Linked DNA regions of Anolis sagrei. The protein of the gene in region 1 interacts with the protein of each later gene in a pairwise test. Links are inferred from orthologs where the notes say so. Each region holds a gene or a part of one and is shown in the gene's direction. Other genes may lie near its edges. The genes, in order: AQP1, RGS17 and CEP44.

What was found.
Region 2: the proteins of AQP1 (region 1) and RGS17 interact in binary tests that used the Homo sapiens proteins (3 or more experiments, as listed by UniProt). The two-hybrid records come from large-scale screens. The link is inferred for Anolis sagrei from reciprocal best matches to the Homo sapiens genes AQP1 and RGS17.
Region 3: the proteins of AQP1 (region 1) and CEP44 interact in binary tests that used the Homo sapiens proteins (3 or more experiments, as listed by UniProt). The link is inferred for Anolis sagrei from reciprocal best matches to the Homo sapiens genes AQP1 and CEP44.

Annotation. Positions count from the first base shown.
Region 1 is NC_090026.1:126,034,876-126,041,891, forward strand, and holds the start of AQP1 (aquaporin-1), read left to right. Parts: upstream 1-3,940; 5' UTR 3,941-4,417; coding exon 4,418-4,807; intron 4,808-7,016. UniProt on the Homo sapiens protein: Forms a water channel that facilitates the transport of water across cell membranes, playing a crucial role in water homeostasis in various tissues.
Region 2 is NC_090021.1:71,470,160-71,477,344, forward strand, and holds the start of RGS17 (regulator of G-protein signaling 17), read left to right. Parts: upstream 1-4,108; 5' UTR 4,109-4,192; intron 4,193-7,185. UniProt on the Homo sapiens protein: Regulates G protein-coupled receptor signaling cascades, including signaling via muscarinic acetylcholine receptor CHRM2 and dopamine receptor DRD2.
Region 3 is NC_090025.1:61,099,470-61,107,155, forward strand, and holds the start of CEP44 (centrosomal protein of 44 kDa), read left to right. Parts: upstream 1-4,642; 5' UTR 4,643-4,743; intron 4,744-4,762; exon of another isoform or gene 4,763-4,813; intron 4,814-7,686. UniProt on the Homo sapiens protein: Centriole-enriched microtubule-binding protein involved in centriole biogenesis. In collaboration with CEP295 and POC1B, is required for the centriole-to-centrosome conversion by ensuring the formation of bona fide centriole wall.

The DNA of each region.
Region 1 (7,016 bases):
ACCTTGGGTCCTTTCAGGTCACATTCTCAGTCACGGCACCAGATTGGCGAATCTCAAAATGCGTTCATGCTAGAGCAGGCCACTCCTTCTTGTTTGAGAAGGGTTCATGTGGCATTTCCTACCGACAACATTATCACATTCCACACATTGGTCAATTCCTCTCTGTTCTACATTTCCATTTTTAAGGTAGCCATAGAATCATAGAGTTGGAAGAGATCTCATGGGCCACCCAGTCCAAGTCCATTTTGCCAAGAAGCAGGAAAATCACATTCAAAGCACTCTTGACAGATGGCCATCCAGCCTCTGCTGAAAAGCTTCCAAAGAAGAAGCCTCCACTACACTTCTGGGCAGAGAGTTCCACTGCTGAACAGCTGTCACAGTCAGAAAGTTCTTCCTAATGTTCAGATGGAATCTCCTTTCCTGTTGTTTGAAGCCATTGTTCAATTGAGTCCTAGTATCCAGGGCAGGAGAAAACAAGCCTGCTCCCTCCTTGCTGTGACTTCTCTTCACATCTTGATCCATGGTCCTCATCATGTCTCTTCTCCGCCTTTTCTTCTGCAGACTAAACATGCCCAGTTCTTTAAGCCACTCCTCATAGGGCTTGTTCTCCAGACCCTTGATTATTTGAGTCACTCTCCTCTGGACACATTCCAGCTTAGAGCCAACATCTCCCTGGCATTGTGGTTCCATCTCTTTGTTTGTCACGCAAGTCAAATGTTCCCACCTCAACATCTTTAAACTTACTCGCCCAACAATGCAGAATACTCACATCAACACAATCACAATAAACTGCTTGCATTCTCTGATGAATCTCCTTTGGGATGACACCTTCTGCTGTCGAGAATTCAATGACTGCATGTTGCTTAAGTCGCATTGACCGACCGTCTGCGCAGGGTTCCATACTTCACACTTTAAAATACAACCGTTGAATGCTAAGGCTTCCGATCAAAATGGAACTGTAGAGGAGAGTCTACTGAACAAGCCAGTACCTGCCGTGTACCAGTACTGCCACCTGTTGAGGAGTTATGAAGGTGAAGGCATTACTTTTCATTCAACCCCCTATGTCTGAATCTGCTCTAGGTTTTTCTCCACTTTAAAGGACTTTTCCAAGGTGCTGATCTCAAATACGTTTCAGCACCTGGGATAATTCCTCTCAAGTTTGGTCTTCTTGCTGGTCTTCTATAGGCAATTCTCCTGATTTAATGTATTGTTGAAGGCTTTCATGGCTGGAATCACTAGGTTGTTGTGAGTTTTTCTGGCTGTATGGCCATTTTCTAGAAGCATTCTCTCCTGACGTTTCACCTGCATCTATGGCAAGCATCCTCAGAGGTAGTGAGGTCTGTTGGAAACTAGAAAAATGGGGTGGAATGTCCCTGGCGGGAGAATATTGTCTGTCCCCATGAGAAGACAGCTGAGTGAAGACCTGATGGAGTTCCGGAGAACCAACCTGGACACAGCATATTATTTGAGAACATGGAAATGCTGGACCACTCTAACAACCACCATGTCAGACTACACAGAGAAGGCGCTGAACTCCACAAGCATGTGGACAATTTCAACAGAAAGGAGAAAATCATGAAAATGAACAAAATCTGGCTACCAGTATTAAAAAACACCAGAATCAAGTCAGTAAATAAAGGACAACATTCAAACACAGGGGAACTCCAGACAAGAAACAATCAGGGACAACTAATCACCTCTAAACAAAGGATTCCCCCACGCAGTAAGAAGTCACAGCTTGAAACTGCTAGGCCATTAAATGCTAATCAAGGTGGCCAATTGAATCATTCACATCTAGCTCCAACAGACAAGTGTTCTTTCTCCCACCTTGGACATTATTCCACAGATATATAAATCCTATTTTCCTAGTTTCCAACAGACCTCACAACCTCTGAGGATGCCTGCCACAGATGCAGGCGAAACATCAGGAGAGAATGCTAATCACCTCCCAACAAAGGATTCCCCAGGCAATAAGAAGTCACAGCTTGAAACTGCTAGGCCGTTAAATGCTAATCAAAGTGGCTGAATGAAGCATTCAGACCTACCTCCAACAGACAAGAGTTCTTTCTCCCACCCTGGACATTATTTCACAGATATATAAACACTATTTTCCTAGTTTCCTACAGACCTCACAACCTCTGAGGATGCCTGCTACAGATGCAGGAAAGATATTGACAAGCTGGAATGTGTCCAGAGGAGGGCGACTAAAATGATCAAGGGTCTGAGGAACAAGCCCTATGAGGAGCGGCTTAAAGAGCTGGGCATGTTTAGCCTGAAGAAGAGAAGGCTGAGAGGAGATATGATAGCCATGTATAAATATGTGAGAGGAAGCCACATGGAGGAGGAGGGAGCAAGCTTGTTTTCTGCTTCCTTGGAGACTAGGATGCGGAACAATGGCTTCAAACTACAAGAGAGGAGATTCCATCTGAACATTAGGAAGAACTTCCTGACTGTGAGAGCCGTTCAGCAGTGGAACTCTCTGCCCCGGAGTGTGGTGGAGGCTCCTTTTTTGGGAGCTTTTAAACAGAGGCTGGATGGCCATCTGTCAGGGGTGATTTGAATGCAATATATCTGCTTCTTGGCAGGGGGTTGGACTGCATGGCCCATGAGGTCTCTTCCAACTCTTTGATTCTATGATTCCATGATTCTATGATCAGGAGAGAATGCTTCTGGAACATGGCCATACAGCCCGAAAAACTTACAGAAACCTAGTGATCCTGACCATGAAATCCTTCGACAATATATTAAAACAGGAGAATATAAACCCCATTTTCTTAGTTTCCAGCAGACCTCACAACCTCTGAGGACTCCTGCCATAGATGCAGGCAAAACATCAGGAGAGAATGCTTCTGGAACATGGCCATACAGCCCGAAAAACTTACAGTAACCCAGTTATTCTGGCCATGAAATCCTTTGACAATACAATTAAAACAGGAGAATTTAAACCCAATTTTCTTAGTTTCCATCAGACTTCACAACCTCTGAGGACTCCTGCCATAGATGCAGGTGAAACATCAGGAGAGGATGCTTCTGGAACATGGTCATACAGCCCGAAAAACTTACAGCAACCCAGTTATTCTGGCCATGAAATCCTTCGACAATACAATTAAAACAGGAGAATTTAAACCCAATTTTCTTAGTTTCCATCAGACCTCACAACCTCTGAGAACTCCTGCCACAGATGCAGGTGAAACATCAGGAGAGGATGCTTCTGGAACATGGCCATACAGCCCGAAAAACTTACAGCAACCCAGTGATTCTGGCCATGAAATCCTTCGACAATACATTAAAATAGGAGAATATAAACCCCATTTCCTTAGTTTCCAGCAGACCTCACAAGTACCTCTGAGGATGCCTGCTACAGATGCAGGTGAAACATCAGGAGAGAATGCTTCTGGTGACGTTGGAAACTAAGAAAATGGGGTTAATATTCTCCTGTTTTAATGTTTTGTTGAAGGATTTCATAGCCAGAATCACTGGGTTGCTGTAAGTTTTTTGGGCTGTATGGCCATGTTCTAGAAGCATTCTCTCCTGATGATTTGCTTGCATCTGTGGCAGGAGTTCCCTTCACTGGAACACGGCCATACAGCCCGAAAAACTTACAGCAACCCAGTGATTCTGGCCATGAAATCCTTCAACAAAACATTAAAACAGGAGAATATTAACCCCATTTTCTTAGTTTCCAGCAGACCTCACAACCTCTGAGGACTCCTGCCACAGATGCAGGCAAATCATCAGGAGAGAATGCTTCTGGAACATGGCCATACAGCCCAAAAAACTTACAAATAACCAAATCTCCTGATTTAGTTTGCTTTCCCTCCTTATTCACGGAAAGAGAAGACTAAAAGGCACTCAAGCATGTCAAGAGAGTCCAGAGAGATAAAGAGAGAAGGTGAAAAGTGGGCGAAAAGGAGAGACGCCTTCCAAAAGCTTCCCTTCAGCTTAATTTTGCAACTGTTGGAGAGGGAAGGGGAGAAAGATGCTGGCAATGCCCAAGGCAGGCAAGCAGGCAGGCAGCCTTCTGGATCACTCTTTTCTTTAAATGCCTTTAAGAACGACAAAACAGCAGCAAAGATCAGAGTTTGCAAAGGAAGAGAAAGGAGTGGTTGCTGTTAGGGGGAGGGAAGCTGGTGAAGGAGGAAAGGAAAAGGGGGGGGGGGTTAAGAAATTGGCAGGCAACGGAGAACGGTGCCTTACATCAGTCTAACAGTCAGCATCCCGATGTTCTTTCCTCTTCCCTCCTCCAGACCACCCAAAGCCCTATAAATAATCGACTCTCCTCGTTGCCTCTTCAGACTCCTTCCTTCCAGCGAGGAAGCCTGTTGAGTTGGCAAAGGGTTGGAGAGGCAGAGGGCAGAAGGAGGCTGAAGAAAGAAGAAGGGTTGAGGAAGAAGAAGGAGAAGACAAGGTAGCCGAGATGGCCAGCGAATTCAAGAAGAAGATGTTCTGGCGGGCCGTGGTGGCCGAGTTCTTCGCCATGAGCCTCTTCATCTTCATCAGCATCGGGGCGGCCTTGGGGTTCCAGTTCCCCGTGTCGGAGAACAAGACCACCACGCCAGTGCAGGACAACGTGAAGGTCTCCTTGGCCTTCGGGATCTCCATCGCCACCATGGCCCAGAGCGTGGGCCACATCAGCGGAGCCCACTTGAACCCAGCTGTCACCTTGGGCCTCCTGCTCAGTTGCCAGATCAGCATCTTGCGGGCCGTCATGTACATTATCGCCCAGTGCCTCGGGGCTGTGGTGGCCACCGCCATCCTTTCGGGCATCACTTCGTCGCTGCCAGGCAACTCCCTTGGCCTCAACCAGGTAAGTTTATCTACTCTTTCCTTCATCACAAAAAAGTTGGACAACTACCAACCATAGCAGTGTTTCCCAACCTGCGGATTGGGACCCCTGGGGAGGGTCACGAAGAGAAGGTTCAGTATTTTCTGTTGGTCATTGGGGTTCAGAATGCTCTTTGATTGTAGGTGAACTATAAATCCCAGCAACTGCAACTCCCAAATGTCAAACTCTATTTTCCCCAAACTCCACCAGTGTTCACATTTGGGTATATTGAGTATTTGTGCCAAGTTTGGTCCAGATCCATCATTGTTTGGAAACACTGTATTTTCTGTTGGTCATTGGGGTTCAGAATGCTCCACCAGTGTTCACATTTGGGTATATTGAGTATTTGTGCCAAGTTTGGTCCAGATCTATCATTGTTTGAGTCCACCGTGCAATCTGGATGTAGGTGAACTACAACTTCAAAACTCAATGTCAATGCCCACCAAACTTTTCCAGTATTTTCTGTTGGTTATGGGAGTTCTGTGTGGGAAGTTTTGCCTAATTCTATTGTTGGTAGGGTTCAGAATGCTCTTTGATTGTAAGTGAACTATAAATCCCAGCAACTACAACTCCCAAACGTCAAACTCTATTTCCCACAAACTATCAGTGTTCACATTTGGGCATATTGAGTATCTATGCCAAGTTTGGTCCAGATCCATCATTGTTTGAGTCCACAGTGTTCTCTGGATATTGGTGAACTACAACTCCACAACCAAAGGTCAATGCCCAGGAGACCCTTCGAGTATTTTCAGTTAGTTACGGCAGTTCTGTGTGCCAAATTTGGTTCAATTTTAACATTGGTGGAGTTCAAAGTGTTCTCTGATTGTAGGTGAACTATAAATCCCAGCAACTGCAACTCCCAAATAACAAGATCAACCCCCTCACGGAACCCCACTAGTATTCAAATTTGGACATATTGGGTATTTGTGCCAAATTTGGTCCAGTGAATGAAAAGACATCCTGCATATCTGATATTTACATTGAGATTCATATCAGTAGCAAAATTACAGTTGTGAAGTAGCAATGAAAATAATGTTATGGTTGGGGGTCACCACAACATGAGGAACTGTATTTAGGGGTCACAGCATTAGGAAGGTTGAGAGCCTCCAAACATGATGAAGCTGTTAATGGAGATCATCTTCTCCAATTAACCTGGGGCATGACTTTCAGCTCATTGAGGTGGAAAATCCATCCTTTGACCGTTCAATATCATTAAAATTAACTCCAAAGGAAGAGGAGAGAAGCTCTGTGCTCTCGTTTAGCCAAGGCAAAAAGAGATGCACAAGTTGGAAAGAGGCTGTATTGATGTTTTCTTCTCCAATCAGGCTTCTGTGCTTTTAATGATGCTTTATTATTAGGCAAAGGTGCCAAAGATACTAGGGCTGTAGGGGTCTTTTCATTGATTTCTAGAAGGAGGGATTTGGGAAATTATTTCTTCTAATTTAGGAATGACAAATGTTTATAAGCAGAGGAGCCTCGAACCCTTTTGCAGCTGGTCACTCCAACTAAAATTTGTGCTATTAATGGCACAATAGCCCCTTTCACATAAAAGTTGGCAACTGTACTAAAATTATTTTCTCTGTGTTGTCGCTTGTGTTAGCAAAGCTAGAATGTGTCCAGAGGAGGGCGACTTAAATGATCAAGGGTCAGGAGAACAAGCCCTATGAGGAGTGGCTTAAGGAGCTGGGCATGTTTAGCCTGAAGAAGAGAAGGCTGAGAGGAGATATGATAGCCATGTATAAATATGTGAGAGGAAGCCACAGGAAGGAGGGAGCAAGCTTGTTTTCCGCTTCCCTGGAGACTAGGACGCAATGGAACAATGGCTTCAAACTACAAGAGAGGAGATTCCATCTGAACATGAGGAAGAACTTCCTGACTGTGAGAGCCGTTCAGCAGTGGAACTCTCTGCCCTGGAGTGTTGTGGAGGCTCCTTCTTTGGAAGGTTTTAAACAGAGGCTGGATGGCCATCTGTCAGGGGTGATTTGAATGCAATATTCCTGCTTCTTGGCAGAATGGGGTTGGACTGGATGGCCCATGAGATCTCTTCCAACTCTTTGATTCTATGATTCTATGAAAGGGAAGGTAAAGGTAAAGGTTTTCCCCTGATATTACGTCTAGTCATGTCCGACTCTGGGGTGGTGGTGCTCATCTCCCTTTCTCAGCCGAAGAGCCAGCGTTGTCCGTAGACACC
Region 2 (7,185 bases), on another chromosome or scaffold:
GAGCCCACTTAATTTCAATAAGTAGATTCCACAAAACAAAAAAGGTCCTCCTCCATATCAAAACCAAATTAGCAACATGGTGTGATAAGCAATTCTCATAGAATCATAGAATCAAAGAGTTGGAAGAGACCTCATGGGCCATCCAGTCCAACCCCCTGCCAAGAAGCAGGAATATTGCATTCAAATCTCCCACTGAACATTGTCGTCATGCTAGTAAGTTTCTCTCTCATTTAAGTCTCTCTCTCTCTCTCTCTCTCTCTTGCCTTCATTTCTGATACAGTTTGAGAATGATGTCAACCAGGTTCCACCACATGATGTTTTCCCCATTCTGTCAGTAATCTGTTGAAATCCGTCTGCAAAGCATTGCAGAAATGGAGTATTTGCACACGGGATTATAGTTGTATTTGAAATACTGTGGAGTTTTCTTTCACTGAAGCATTGTTTTTTAATGTGATTGGGAAATCAATACACATATCATCAGCTACTATGCGACTTAAAATTTGGTGGACTGTCTGAGGGCAGAGTCTCCTGATCCTGGACTGTTCATGACTGAAGCAGCAGCCAGTTCTGTTTTGGGATGTCAAAGGAGAAAGACCTCTGGGATTAAGGAAATCGGGAATTACCACTTTACCTGAAGTAGTAACTGCAGCAAAGGAGCCATATCTAATGAATCAATAATCTATCATTTAGAAATCTGATAAGATTTGATTTCTCAGAACTCTTTCTCAGACTCATTAGAACTCCTTATTCCACACCAAAAGTAGCAATCAGGCAAATACATTTACTGCGCTGTCGCAACAATGTCTTCAAATCATGCAAGGGCAGTAATTCAAGATTTTGAGGCTACATCACTGCGCAGTTTTAGATTTTTTTAAAAGTCACATAGGACTTTTTCTGAATGGTTTTGAAGGAGACAGCCTTCCATGGTATGATGAGTCAAAGCGGAGTATTTCTGAAGGTAAAAATAGAAGTATTTCAGTGTAATGGGGTCAGTGCATGTTTCGTCTGACAACAGTATCAGGAAAAAGGTGATACATACTGATAAAAATGGATAATTAATTTTGGCAAAAAAAACCCCACTTCCATGTCAGGTTCACCTTAGGGACACAATAAGTCAGAAATGACTTAAGAATACACAACAAAGATGGAACAAGTAACCCTGAAATCGGCATGTCACCAACAAGATTCTAGCCTATATTTACACTGCATAGCGATAACAGTTTCATATAAGTTTAACTGCCATAATTCTTTCCTAGGGAACCTTGAGATTTATAGTTTGGTTTAGTATTCTCTCCTAGAGCTCTACTGATTTGCTGCCCTATTGTAAGGCAGGGAGGAGGCCATCTCAGACACTAAGCCAAGAAATAATGAATTATAAGTGGTGGCTTGTGTTAGCTTTTTATGATGACCTTTTTCATCATAATGATGTCCTTTTTCTGTTTTGTAGAATAAATTATATTTACTGATTTATAAAACATAATTGTAGGCTTGTTTAGGGGCCTGCTCAGAATTAGCTTTGTTTTATGAAGCTTTTAAAAATAAATGATAACATTTTATTAGCATGTTCGTAACACAGTGCTTCCAAATTAAATGGATTGCATTAAGATTTTTGCATAATTGTTTGGGAAAAAGTAATCACTCCTACTAAAGTTCTATTCGCTTTGTCTCCAAGTGCTGCCGTTGAATTTGGGGTCTCAAAGAAAGGCAGTAAATGCCAGTTGAATGCTTACTGTTGCCTTTTGCCAACAATAACAGAGATGTCTGGATTTTTCTGCAGACATTTCTGCAGGCATTTTTTGTTGCCCATGGATTCTAAAATACCTGCTATTTTGACTTAAGAAAAGAGAATGCACCCACATGGATTATAAAATGTTTGGTTGAGAGAGATATATGTGTCATCTCCTTGAAACACCTCACACACTTATGATATAGAGTGTGCCCTTGATACAGAAAGAGTATCTGTAATCCAGAATTCCAAAATCTAGAATCACAGCACCACAGTTCAAAAGCATCTATCTGCCTTCGCTCAGCCTTCCTTATGGTCCAGCTCTCACATCCTGTAGGTTGCTACGGAGAATACAATCTCTTTAACTATGTGGATCTTCGTTTCCAGTGTGATGTCTCTACTCTTCACTGCTTTATTGAATTTGGTCATTGCTCTCCTCCCAAGAAATATAAAAATAATGATAAATGTCTCCCTCTCGGCCTCCTCTTCTTAACAGAACTTGATCACTTATGAATGATCACAATGGACAGACCTCAGACTGTGACTTTGGATTTGATGTAATTTTAAATGGATGTTTTGTAAAGGATGTTTTAATAAATTGTTTTAATTGCAATTGTTATTATAATAGTTGTGTTTGGCATCTAATGGTTGCCGGTTGTGAGCTGCCCTGAGTCCCATCCCCCCTCCCCCAGGGGTGGGGTGAGAAGGAGGGGATAGAAATGTTTGAAATAAATAAATAAATATGAAACTGTGGGTAACCCTTTGGTGTGTAATGATAACGTGTTCCCATCGTGAAATACACCGCTTTGAAACACCTTTTCTTCGGGCCCTTCCACACAGCCCTATATCCCAGAATATCAAGGCAGAAAATTGCATATTATCTGAGTGTGGACTGAGATTTTTTTTTTTCATGTCAGGAGCAAGTCGCTTCTGGTGTGAGAGAATTGGCTGTCTGCAAGGATGTTGCCCAGGGGATGCCCAGATGTTTTGATGTTTCACCATCCTTGTGGGAGACTTCTCTCATGTCCCCACATGGGAAACTGGAGCTGACAGAGGGAGCTCATCCACACCCTCCCTGGATTCGAACCTGCAACCTGTTGGTCTTCAGTCGTGCTGGCACAAGGATTTAACCCATTGCATCACCGGGAGCTCCTGTGGACTCAGATAATTATTTATTTCATTTATTTATTGCATGCATTTCTACCTTCTCTCTCCCGAAGATAATCCAGTTCAAAGCAGATATTGTGGGATTTTCCGTCTTGATATTCTGAGATATAGCGCTGTATGGAAGGGCCCTGGGCTATCTGAGTCCACACTCAGGCCATGTGGGATTTCCTGCCTTGATATTCTGGGATATAGGGCTGTGTGGAAGGGTCCTTCTTCCGAGTGGCCAGCTGCCTGGGCAAACCCGAGCGTGTGTCTGCCGCAGTCCCTGTCCGAAGCAGAAACGTGGGGAGCCTGGAGGAGGAGGAGGACCACGAGGACAGGCCCGTAGCCAGGATTTCGATTGGGGGGGGGGGCTGAGTTTCGGGGGGGGGGCTGAGTCTAAGTGACAGAGGGTCTAGCCTAGCAAACCTTTTGATTCATTACCCCAATACCCTCATGCAAATGGGATATATTGAGTATGGTGATCAGATCATGATATGAATAAACATAACAGTTTAAATAATGCACCAGTAAGGCCTTTTCGCGAACCACCATGAGAATTTCGGGGGGGGGGGCTGAAGCCCCTCAAGCCCCCCCCCCCCCCCACATGCCTGCGCGAGGAGCACACGCGCCTCTCTCCCGCGAGACCCGGGGGCTTGGAAGGCCACCCTTGGCGCCTTAGCTGCCCCTCCAAAGCGGAACCCCTTCCGCCCCGTCCTCCTGGCCCTGGTGCTTCCCTCCCTCCAGGCGGCCTTCCTCCTTCCTCTCACCTGAGGGGCTTTGGGCGCCCCCTCCCCGCCCTCCCATCGACACAGGACGTGCCCCGGGTGTCTCTCGGCCTCCCGCTCCCACCCCTGCCCGCCCCCGCCTCCTTGGGCCTCCTCTCTAGCCCCCAGCCACCCGCTCCCTCCTTTCCTCGGAGTCTCCTCAGTCGCGGAGAAGGGAGGGGAGGGGGTCCTCCGTGAGTCACGCTGGGGAGAAGCGGGGAAACTCCAGCTGCTCCGCCGGGGCCAGCGCTGGGCCGAGAGGCGCATGCGCAGCCCGCCTCGCCGAAGCCTCTCCCCCCCCCCCCCGCCTTCCTTCCTTCCTCCCTCCCTTCCCTCCCTCCCTTCTCCCTCAATCTCGCTCTCTCTCTCTCTCGCTCTCTTTCCCTGCCGGCTGGGTGCTGAAGTTGGGCGGATGGCAGGCGAGCAGCAGCAGGAGCAGCTCCGTTAGCCGACCCGCGGCGCCCGCCTTCCTTTGCCTTGCCTTCCCCGTGGGCCTCCCTCCCCCGCGCCGGGAATCGTCCACGCGCAGGCAGCCAGGCGGGGGTGTGTGTGGGTAAGGCGGACCCTCCTCCCTTCCCCTTCCCCTTCCCCTTCCCCGCGCGGTCTCTCTCCCTCACGCCACCCGCGCCCTCCTCCTCCTCCTCCTTTCCCCGCATCCCTTGTCGTTGGCTTTCACTTCTTCCCAAGGCAGCAAACATGTCTGCTGTGGCAAAGAGAAAGGAATAGGCGCGAGGGGGGAAAAGATGGATGAGGGCAAGGCGGGGGACGGGCGGGGGGCAAGGCAGAGGGAGAAGAGACCCAAGGAGCGGGGAGGGCTTGCCAAAAGGAAGAGAGAGAGAAAGCGAGAGAGAGCGGGGGAGTAGAGGTGGGTGTTGCTTCTTGTCTCTGAAGATGGATGGAAGATAGAAGGAAGGAAGGAAGGAAGGAGGGAGAAGAGAGGAGAGGATGCGGGTGAGGGAGGCTCGGGGGGCGTCCGTGGCTTCCCCGCCGCCGAGGGAGCCCAATGCGTTTGCGCGCGTGTCCACGCCGCCGCCCCCCACCCGAGCCTCTCCCTCTCTCCCTCTCTCTCTCCCCCGCCCCGCCTTGCCTTTCAGCATCCTCCGCGGTGTGTGGAAAGTGTGTGGAAGACATGGCTGGGAGAGAGGGCTTCCCCGCGTCCTCTGCCTTCCGCCTGCCTCCTCCTCTGGGACGCTTCCCAGGAGAGAAGAAGCCACCGGGCCGGCTCCTTTCCCTCCCTTGTGCTGGCAAGGGAGGTGAGGTTCCCCTTGCCCTTTCCTCAGCAGAAAGGGGAACCTTCTTTTCTTCTGCAGTGCCTCCAGGGCTTCACCGGGTCCCCCTTCTCCTTTCTTCATCCAGTTGTAGAAGGAAGGGCATGGAGGTGCCAGAGAAAGGGTGCTTACAAAGCTCACAGAGCATCTCTTGGAAGGGCAGGGAAATGCCCAATCTCCCGCCAAGGGAATTCATCCTCAGTGGTATCTCTTGGAAAGGCAGGGAAGTGTCCAAGCTCTAGTCAAGGCAATTCATCCCAAGTTGCATCTCTTGGAAGGGCAGGGAAATGCACAGGCTCTGTACAAAGGGGATTCATCCCCAGTTGTATCTCTTGGAAGTGTCCAAGCTCCAGCCAAGGCAATTCATCCTCAGTTACATCTCCTAGAAGCAGGGCTGTAGCCAGAAAAAAATTTCGGGAGGGGTTGAAACTTCGGGGGGGGGGTTGAAATTTTGGGAGGGGGGTTGAAACCTGCCTCCTAGCTCACGCTGAAGCAAAGAGCACAGCAGGGGGCAGAGCAGCCTTCAATAGCCTGCAGCTCCGCCCTTGTCAACCACCTCCACCAAGTCTGGTCTCCTTAATGAGAGCATTCATCATCCCCCCCCCCCCCCCGCCAACTTGGTTGCTTCACTACTGTTCTGTCGCGCGCTGGGCCTGTAAATAATTGTCTTTAGAACAGGATGTGCAACCTTTGCCCAGCGGGAAGCCAGGGGGCCTAAAGAGAAGTTCTCAGAGGTTTCCATCACAAACAGTCTTTAGATGGCTTGAGAAGTACAACAAAGTATTTTACTAATGAACAATCAAACAGAAACTCCTCTTGTCTTCAGTAAAGTTAAGCAAATGATTCCAAGCTTTTAGGCAACTGGTGAATTCCTAATCTTGCCCACGAAGAACAGGCAACTGTCTTCAATAACTTCTTCTTTAAAGGAAAACCCCCTTTTTAACTTCTCCCAGGCTGACTGTAATCTAACCCTTACTGATGTGGGCTCCGCTACCGGGTCGAACTGCGTCTCAAACGTCGAGTGGACCTACCAGCAAGGCAGTAGATGTTCTCCAGCTAGAGTTCTTTGGTCTTTAGGGCTGTTTTCCTGGAAATTCTTTGGAGACTCTTAAGACCTTTCTCCCCTGGAAGGTCTTAAGGGTTGAAGCTTTTGTACAGGGGAAGCTTGCACACATCCTATACATAAGCTTACCTTGCTGAGACTAACTAAAAATGGCTCCCTTCCCAATTGCCCTGAGCAAGGGGCGGGACCAAAACTTAACAATGATGGACAGGTGACTTGCCCAATGACTGCAACCAAAGAAGCCACCTATCTGCAGAGTTCCTGAAACCTAGTGCCTAATACAAAGCAAATAAAGTTGGAGCTCCTGGTACAGCTGTACCAGAACAACTACATCGGCTATTGCTGCAAGTAATGACAGTGTGAATAAATTGCCAATATTTGCTTGAGATAGTGCTTGCAGTTCTGGAGGGACTCTTAATTTTTTGCATCTCATAGACTTAGCATGGGGATTTGGTTAACCAGTTAAAATTCATGAGTAAACCAGGTTTTTTAAAAAAAATCTGAAACATTTCGGGGGGGGGGGTTGAACCCCTAACCCCCCCCCCCCCCTCGCTACAGGCCTGCCTAGAAGGGCAGGGAAATGCCCAGCTTCTCTCTAAGGGAATTCATCCCCAGTTGCTTCTTGTCTCTGAGGATGGATGGAATAAGGAAGGAAGGGCAGGGAAGTGTCCAAGCTCAAACCAAGGCAATTCATCTCCAGTTGCATCTCCTGGAAAGGCAGGGAAATGCCCACTCTCTGTCCAAGGGGATTCATCCCCAGTTGTATCTCTTGGAAGGGCAGGGAAGTGGCCAAGGTCTAGTCAAGGCAATTAATCCCCAGTTGCATCTCTCTGTCCAAGGGGATTCATCCTCAGTTGTATCTCTTGGAGGGCAGGAAAGTGTCCTAGCTCTAGACAAGGCAATTCATCCCAAGTTGCATCTTCTGGAAGGGCAAGGAAATGCCCAGTCTCTATCCAAGGGAATTCATCCCCAGTTGTATTTCTTGGAAGGGCAGGGAAGTGTCCAAGCTCAAGTGAAGGCAATTCATCCTCAGTTACATCTCCTGGAAAGGCAGGGAAATACCCAGTCTCTGTCCAAGGGAATTCATCCTCAGTTGTATCTCTTGGAAGGGCAAGGAAATGTCCAATCTCTAACCTTCAGTTGCAGAAGGAGTGGAATGTGTTGTCTTCTCCTTCCTGGGGAAATTGCTGACTCCTAGTTATTGGCCTGTGTGCC
Region 3 (7,686 bases), on another chromosome or scaffold:
GTATACAATAATAATAATAATAATAATAATACTGTAATATAATAATACAAATATATTAAATATGCTACTAGTAATATATAATCACATACAATGACAATACCGTTTTATTATTGTATATTGGTATATTTGAAATTGTAACATTTTTCATTTTGAGTCTCTGGCCCCTTCCACACAGTTGAATAAAATCCCCCATTATCCGCTTTGAACTGGAATAAATGGCAGTGTAGACTCAGATAATCTAGGGCCCTTCCATACAGCCCCATTATCCCAGAATATCACGGCAGAAAATCCCACAGTATCTGCTTTGAACTAGGTTATCTGAGTCCACACTCAGATACTGTGGGATTTTCTGCCTTGATATTCTGGGATACAGGGCTGTGTCGAAGGGCCCCTAGTTCAAAGCAGATAGTAATAATAATACAATATTATAATTATTATGCCCCCGCTGGCGCAGTGGGTTAAAGGCCTGTGCCGGCAGGACTGAAGACTGACAGGTCGCAGGTTCAAATCCGGGGAGAGGCGGATGAGCTCCCTCTATCAGCTCCAGCTCCTCGTGTGGGGACATGAGAGAAGCCTCCCACAAGGATGATAAAACATCAAATCATCCTGGCGTCCCCTGGGCAACATCCTTGCAGACAGCCAATTCTCTCACAACAGGAGCGGTCGCTCCTGACACGACAAAAAAAAATTAGAATTATATATTTACATTACATGTAATATTACTAATAATATTACAATATAATGGTATAGTACAATATAGTAATATATAATACTGATATTTTACTATGCTAATAATATAATATATTGTATGAAAATATATATTGTAAGGCGCTCTGAGTCCCCTTTGGGGTGAGAAGGGCGGCATATAGATGCCGTAAATAAATAAATAAATGTATTGTCGAAGGCTTTCATGGCTGGAATCACTAGGTTCTTGTAGGTTTTTTTCGGGCTATAGGGCCATGTTCTAGAGGCATTTCTCCTGACGTTTCACCTGCATCTATGGCAAGCATCCCCAGAGGTAGTGAGGTCTGTTGGAAATAGGACAATGGGTTTATATATCTGTGGAATGACTGGGGTGGGGCAAAGAGCTCTCTGCTGAAGCTAGGTGTGAATGTTTCAACTGACCACCTTCATTAGCATTTGAAGGCCTGCCTGAGCCTGGGAAAATGTTCTGTTGAGCGGTGTTAAGATGTGCCTGGTTGTTTCCTCTCTGCTGTTTTGCTGTTGTAATTTTAGAGTTTTTTTAATACTGGTAGCCAGATTTTGTTCATTTTCATGGTCTCCTCCTTTCTGTAGACTCCTGCAGAGGTGAGAGGACCCCTCTTGTCCTTTGCTGAACGTAGCATTTGTTGGATTTTCTTGGTGGGTTTGTAGATTGTTTGTATGTTATGTTTCCTCAGCTGGTAAGCTGGAGCACCTGATGAACCAGCCTGGAATAAATAAATATTTTGGGATTTTCTGCCTTGATATTTTGGGGTCCCTTCCACACAGTGGAATAAAATCCCACATTATCTGCTTTGAACTGGGTTATATGGCAGTGTGGACTCGGATAATCCAATTCAAAGCAGATACTGTGGGACTTTCTGCCTTGATATTCTGGGATGTAAAGCTGTATGGAAGGGCACTTATCAAGTCTTCAGTCCTGCCGGCACAGGCCTTTAACCCACTGCGCCAGCGGGGGCATAATAATTATAATATTGTATTATTACTACTATCTGTTTTGAACTAGGGGCCCTTCCACACAGCCCTATATCCCAGAATATCAAGGCAGAAAATCCCACAGTATCTGAGTGTGAACTCAGATAACCTAGTTCAAAGCAGATACTGTGGGACTTTCTGCCTTGATATTCTGGGATGTAGCGCTGTATGGAAGGGCACTTATCAAGGTAGAAAATCCCACAATATCTGCTTTAAACTGAGTCCACACTACCATATATTCCAGTTCAAAGAAGATATTATGGGGTTTTATTCAGCTGTGTGGAAGGGGCTTAAGTATAGAGAGATAAAGCGGAATATAAATAAATAAACAAAATAAAATCTCTATGAATTTCACAGTCTTCCTAGGCAAGGGATACATTGAGATGGGCTGCTCTGAAATATAGCCCACAGCGCCTGGTATTCCTTGGCGGTCTCCCACCCAAGCGCTCACCAGGGTCGACCCTGCTTAGCTTCCAAGACCAAACGGCTCCCGCTGCCTCCAGGCTGCTGAGGCGAGAAGAGAAAACGCGCTTTACCTGTCCGAAATTGAGTCCCAACCGCCGCCGCGACGAGTGCTGTGCCAGTCAGTGCCCAAGCTTGACAAGGAGGGTCTGGGGAGATGCGGAGGCGCTGGCGAAGCCCTGGCGAAGCGCTCGTGTCCCGCCCCAAACCGCGAGCGGCCAAAGGTGGAAGTTCCCTGCTGGAGCTCTTGAGGTTGCCGTGTATGTTGTTACCGGAAGTGACGCTCCCCTCCTCGTCCGTCGCGGAAAGCAACAGCCGATTCGCCTTCGCAGATTCCGCTGTCAATTTGAGGAGGCTTAAGCGTCCTAGGATATACTATCAGATTTTAATTTTTTAATAGCGGTGGGCCGAGCTGAGTTAAAGGTAGCTCTCCGCATAACTGAGCGTTGTTCTCAAAAAAAAATTTTTTGACAAGCGAGTGAGGTTTGACGAATCTGCCGATTGGGAAACGCCGGATGGTTTCGATTTCCCGCGGGAGAGCTCAAAACAGCTGCTCCGTCTGGGAGATAAGAGCTGTGCCTTCCCTCCGTGTGTGGAAGGGCCCCTGCCATTCCGCTGCACAGAACCTCACACTTTCTGCTTTGAACTGGAATATATGGCAGTGTGGACTCAGGACCCTTCCACACAGCCCTATATCCCAGAATACCAAGGCAGGAAATCCCACAAACTGAGTTATCTGAGTCCAAACTCAGATAATATGGAATTTTCTGCCTTGATATTCTGGGATATAGGGCTGTGGGGAAGGCCCCTGAGTCCATACTGCAATACATTCCATTTTATCTGAGTTTGGAGTCAGATAACCCAGTTTAAAGTAGATACTGTGGGATTTTCTGCCTTGATATTCTGGGTTATATGGCTGCGTGGAAGGCCCCTCAGGGTCCTTCCACACAGACATATAACCCAGAATATCAAGGCAGAAAATCCCACAGTATCTGCTTTGAACTGGGTTATCTGAGTCCAGCCCACGCTGCCAGTTCAAAAAAGATAATGTGGGATTTTATTCAGATGTGTGGGAGGCCACAGCCCCTCCCTAACAGGATCTGATCCCAAGTTTTCTGTTTTAAACTGGATTATATGAGTCCGCATTGCCAGATAATCTGGGATAAACTGAAAACCTGGGATCAGATCCTGGAATATAAGGCCTGTCTGGAAGGGCCCTGAGGTCCCTTCCCCACAGCTGAATAAAATCCCACGTTATCTGCTTTGAACTGGGATATATGGCAGTGTGGATTCAGATAAGGAAAGAATAGTTAGAGGATTTTTTTTAAAAAATGCACAAAAACTCTTGAACACAACTGTCGCTGTGATTCAGCACTGGCTTGATACTCAGGGCCCTTCTACACAGTCCCTATATGCCAGGATCTGATCCCAGGTTTTCTGCTTTAAACTGGATTATAAGAGTTCGCACTGCCAGATAATCTGGGATAAACAGAAAACCTGGGATCAGATCCTGGGATATAGGGACTGTGTGGAAAGACCCTCAGAGGTCTATAAACAGCTCACAGCCTGCGTAAGGGCTGAGTGTGGACTCAGATAATCCAGTTGAAAGCAAATATTGTGGGATTTTGTTCCTTTATATTCTAGGTTATATGACTGTGGAAGGGTCCTCAGACAGGACCTATATCCCAGAATCTGACCCCAGGTTTTTTTTTTTTGCTTTAATCTGGATTATATAAATCCACACTGTTGGATAATCTGGGATAAACAGAAAATCTAGCTTCAGATCCTGGGATATAGGGCCTGTCTGAAAAGGGCCTCAGGGACCTTCCACCAAGCCATAGAACCCAGAATATCAGGGCAGAAAATCGCACAATATCTGCTTTGAACTGGGTTATCTGAGTCCACACTCAGATGTGGGATTTCCTGCCTTGATATTCTGGGATATAGGTCTGTGTGGAAGAACCCTGGTTTATCTGAGTCCACACTGCCATATATTCCAGTTCAAAGCAGAAAATGTGGGATTTTATTCAGCTGTGTGGAAGGGGGCACAGAGGGAAGGAATAATACATTAAACTACACAGCTGTAAAACTAATGATCCAGATAATATATAAAACATATGCCTTAGGAAAAAAATATCTGATCAATACATGTAATCAAAATTATTAAACAAGGTCACACTAAAATTCCAACAAAACTTTAGATCTCCTTAACTGGTGAGCCTTTAAGGCCTTTAGCAACTTTATAAATATGCATTTACCTACATAATTAAACTGATTGGTCGCATTTATTTGTGATTTATGCCCAGTATAAGCTTGAATAATATGCATTATATTCCTGTAGTTTTTGAAATTAATATCTATCAGCCACATCAAACTTTCTTCCTTCCCAACTGTCCTTAAATGCTGGGGGCATGTGAATGAAACCTGCTCAAATCTCGGCAGAGGAAGATTTCTCGCGAGACCTCCGTGCTTTATACTCTCCCGTCCCCAAAGAATCTATGGAAGTCTCGCGATGATACGGCAAGCAACCATCGCGAGAAAGGTTTGAGTGTCGAGCGCGCCGTTCGACCCGCCGGAGGCAAGGTAGTTGAGGTGTTGTTTTGATGGGGCTCGCGTCTGTCAGTCAGGGAGTGAGTGAGTGATTCGGTGTTTGGTATGTAAAAGATGATGTGCTGTGTGCCAAATGCTCGGTGATGGCTGTGGCAGGGGCTTGCTGTCGTTAAATCTAGAAATACTGGATTCGGAGAGCCTTGTATTCCTGTCTCGCCATATGAGACGCCGGGGAACACAAACAAGACCTCCCTGTTTTCCCCGCCGGCCCATCTGTGTTCTTTGGGGCGTAATATAATAATAATAACACTTTATTTATATTCCGCCCTAATCCCAGAGGGGACTCAGAGCAGATTGCGCATATAAACAGACACAGGCAAACATTCAATATCTTGTTACAAAGAAATACAATGACACAAATACAGAGGCAAAGGCTTCTCCTTTCATTTCCGGCTCTGGAGGTGGTGCTCATCTCCGGCTCTGTGGGAGGTGCTTATCTCAATTTCCAAGCTATTTATTTATTTATCCTGTCAGTATTACATTGTATTACATTTTTAACAAACAGACAAAACAGAGTTTGCAAGCCGAGGAGTCTGCATTGTCCGTAGACACATCCTGGTCGTGTGGCTGGCATGACTGCATGGAGTGTCATTGCCTTTCCTGCTAGGTTGGCAGGAACTAGGGCTCACCCTGCCCCACGTATTCGAACTGCCAACCTTCAGATTAGTTCAGCAGCACTAGGTTTGCACAGATCATGATGATAAGGTTTGGTATTAATGTTAGGAGTGTAGACTCATATGATGGAGCTTATGGAAGAAACAGGAGCATTTATTCTTCTCCATTGTGTATTCTTCTCTATTATGTACTGGGGATCACAACCAGACACAGTGAAGACATCTGCCCTTGCACTATGCTACTCTGCTGCTGAGTATGTATGCCCAGTGTGGAACACATCTCACCACGCTAAAACAATAGATGTGGCTCTTAATGAGACATGCCGCATTATCACGGGGTGTCTGCGCCTTACACCACTGGAGTAATTACACTGTTTAGCCGGTATTGCACCACCTGACATCCGCCGGGAAGTAGCAACCAATAGTGAAAGGACCAAGGCAGTGACATCTCCAGCTCATTCCCTGTTTGGATATCAGCCAGCACGTCAACGACTTAAATCAAGAAATCGTTTTCTAAGATCTACAGAGACACTCGCTGGAATACCTCAGCAAGTGAGAATCCAAAAGTGGCAGGCTCAAACCCAGCACCTCAATCCATGGGTGATACCAGATGAGAGACTCCCCCCTGGGCACACAGAAAACTGAGCGACTTGGAAGATGCTGAACAGACTGTGCTCTGGCACCACGAGATGCAGAGCCAATCTTAAGAAATGGGGCTACAAAGTATGGAGAAGAGCAAACTACAGACCACCTCCTGCAATGCAACCTGAGCCCTGCCACATGCACGATGGAGGACCTTCTTGCAGCAACACCAGAGGCACTCCAAGTGGCCAGCTACTGGTCAAAGGACTTTTAATCAACTACCAAGCTTGCAAACTTTGTGGTTTGTTTGTTTGTTAAAAAATGCAATGCAACTGTTTGGTCTGCCCCTTACACGATAAATATGTTTGGTCTGCCCCTTACACAAATATAAATATGTATTATCTCAGATCCCAAGGATAAGAAAGTAGCTAAGTAGAAATAGGCTTAGATTGGCAGCTATTGGCAGCTATTTAGAGACTTTCCAGTGAATAGCATATGACAGGTTAATCACAGAAAAGAGACAGGCTGGCAGTGGCATAACATGGTGTTGTAGGATGGGGATCATCACCTGGCTTCAATGTCAGTTTGCCTTCCTTAAGTGATAAAGTTTCCTATTATTTTCTCTCCTTAAAACTGTATCAATTTGTGGTTAGAGCATTTGACTAGTACTCCGGAGACCCGGGTTTGAATCCCTCCTTTGGCCATGGAAGTCCAATGAGGCAAAGTCACACTCAGCCCTAGAAATCACAACACATAACAACCACAAATGTGTAGACCTGCCATGGAGAAGTGGATAAATACCATATTATCCTTTGTGTTTTGAAGCAAGAAACACCAACCCTTTGGACAGTACTAATTAAGGGTGCTTCTACATTGATAATGCAGTTTGATGCCACTTTAATTGCCATAGTTCGATGCGATAGAATCCTGGAAGTTGTAGTTTTCTGAGGCCTTTTTCCTGTTCTCACCAAGCTGCAGCTCTCAGGATTCCATATCCTTGAGCCATGGCAGTTTACAGGCCCTTCTACACAGCCATATAATACCCAGAGTATCTGCTTTCAACTGGATTATCTGGCAGCATAGACTCAGTTAATCCAGCTCAGAGCAGTTAATGTGGATTATATGATTTGATAACCTGGATTGTTTGGCAGTATAGAAGGGGCTTTCGTAGCGCCAATCTGCATTAACTCTACAGTACATGAACCTGTTGTTGTCTTAGGAGTATATTTTTAGAGGTAGCCAACGAGGCCTTACAGGAAAACAAGGTCTAAATAGCAATGCTTTCATTGCTTTAGAAAGCCTTTGGTTTTTTTTTAGAAAGTCCTCCCACCGAGGGCCCTTCCAGACAGGATCTGATCCCAGATTTTCTGCTTTAAACTGGATTTTATGAGGGCTCTTCCAGACAGGCCCTATATACAGAAGAGTCTCGCTTATCCAACCTTCACTCATCCAACATTCTGTATTATCCAACAGTCTGCTTCCTGCCTGGATTCACAGCTGTTTCAATACATTGCAATGTTTTCGTGCTAACTTAGTAAATATGATCATTATTACATAACGTTGCCATGTATTGAACTGCTTTCTCTGTCAATTTGTTGTAAAACACGATGTTTGGGTGCTTAATTTGTAAAATAACGTAATTTGATGTTTAATAGGCTTTTCCATATTATCCAACATTTTTGCTTATCCAACATTATGCTGGCCTTTTTATGTTGGATAA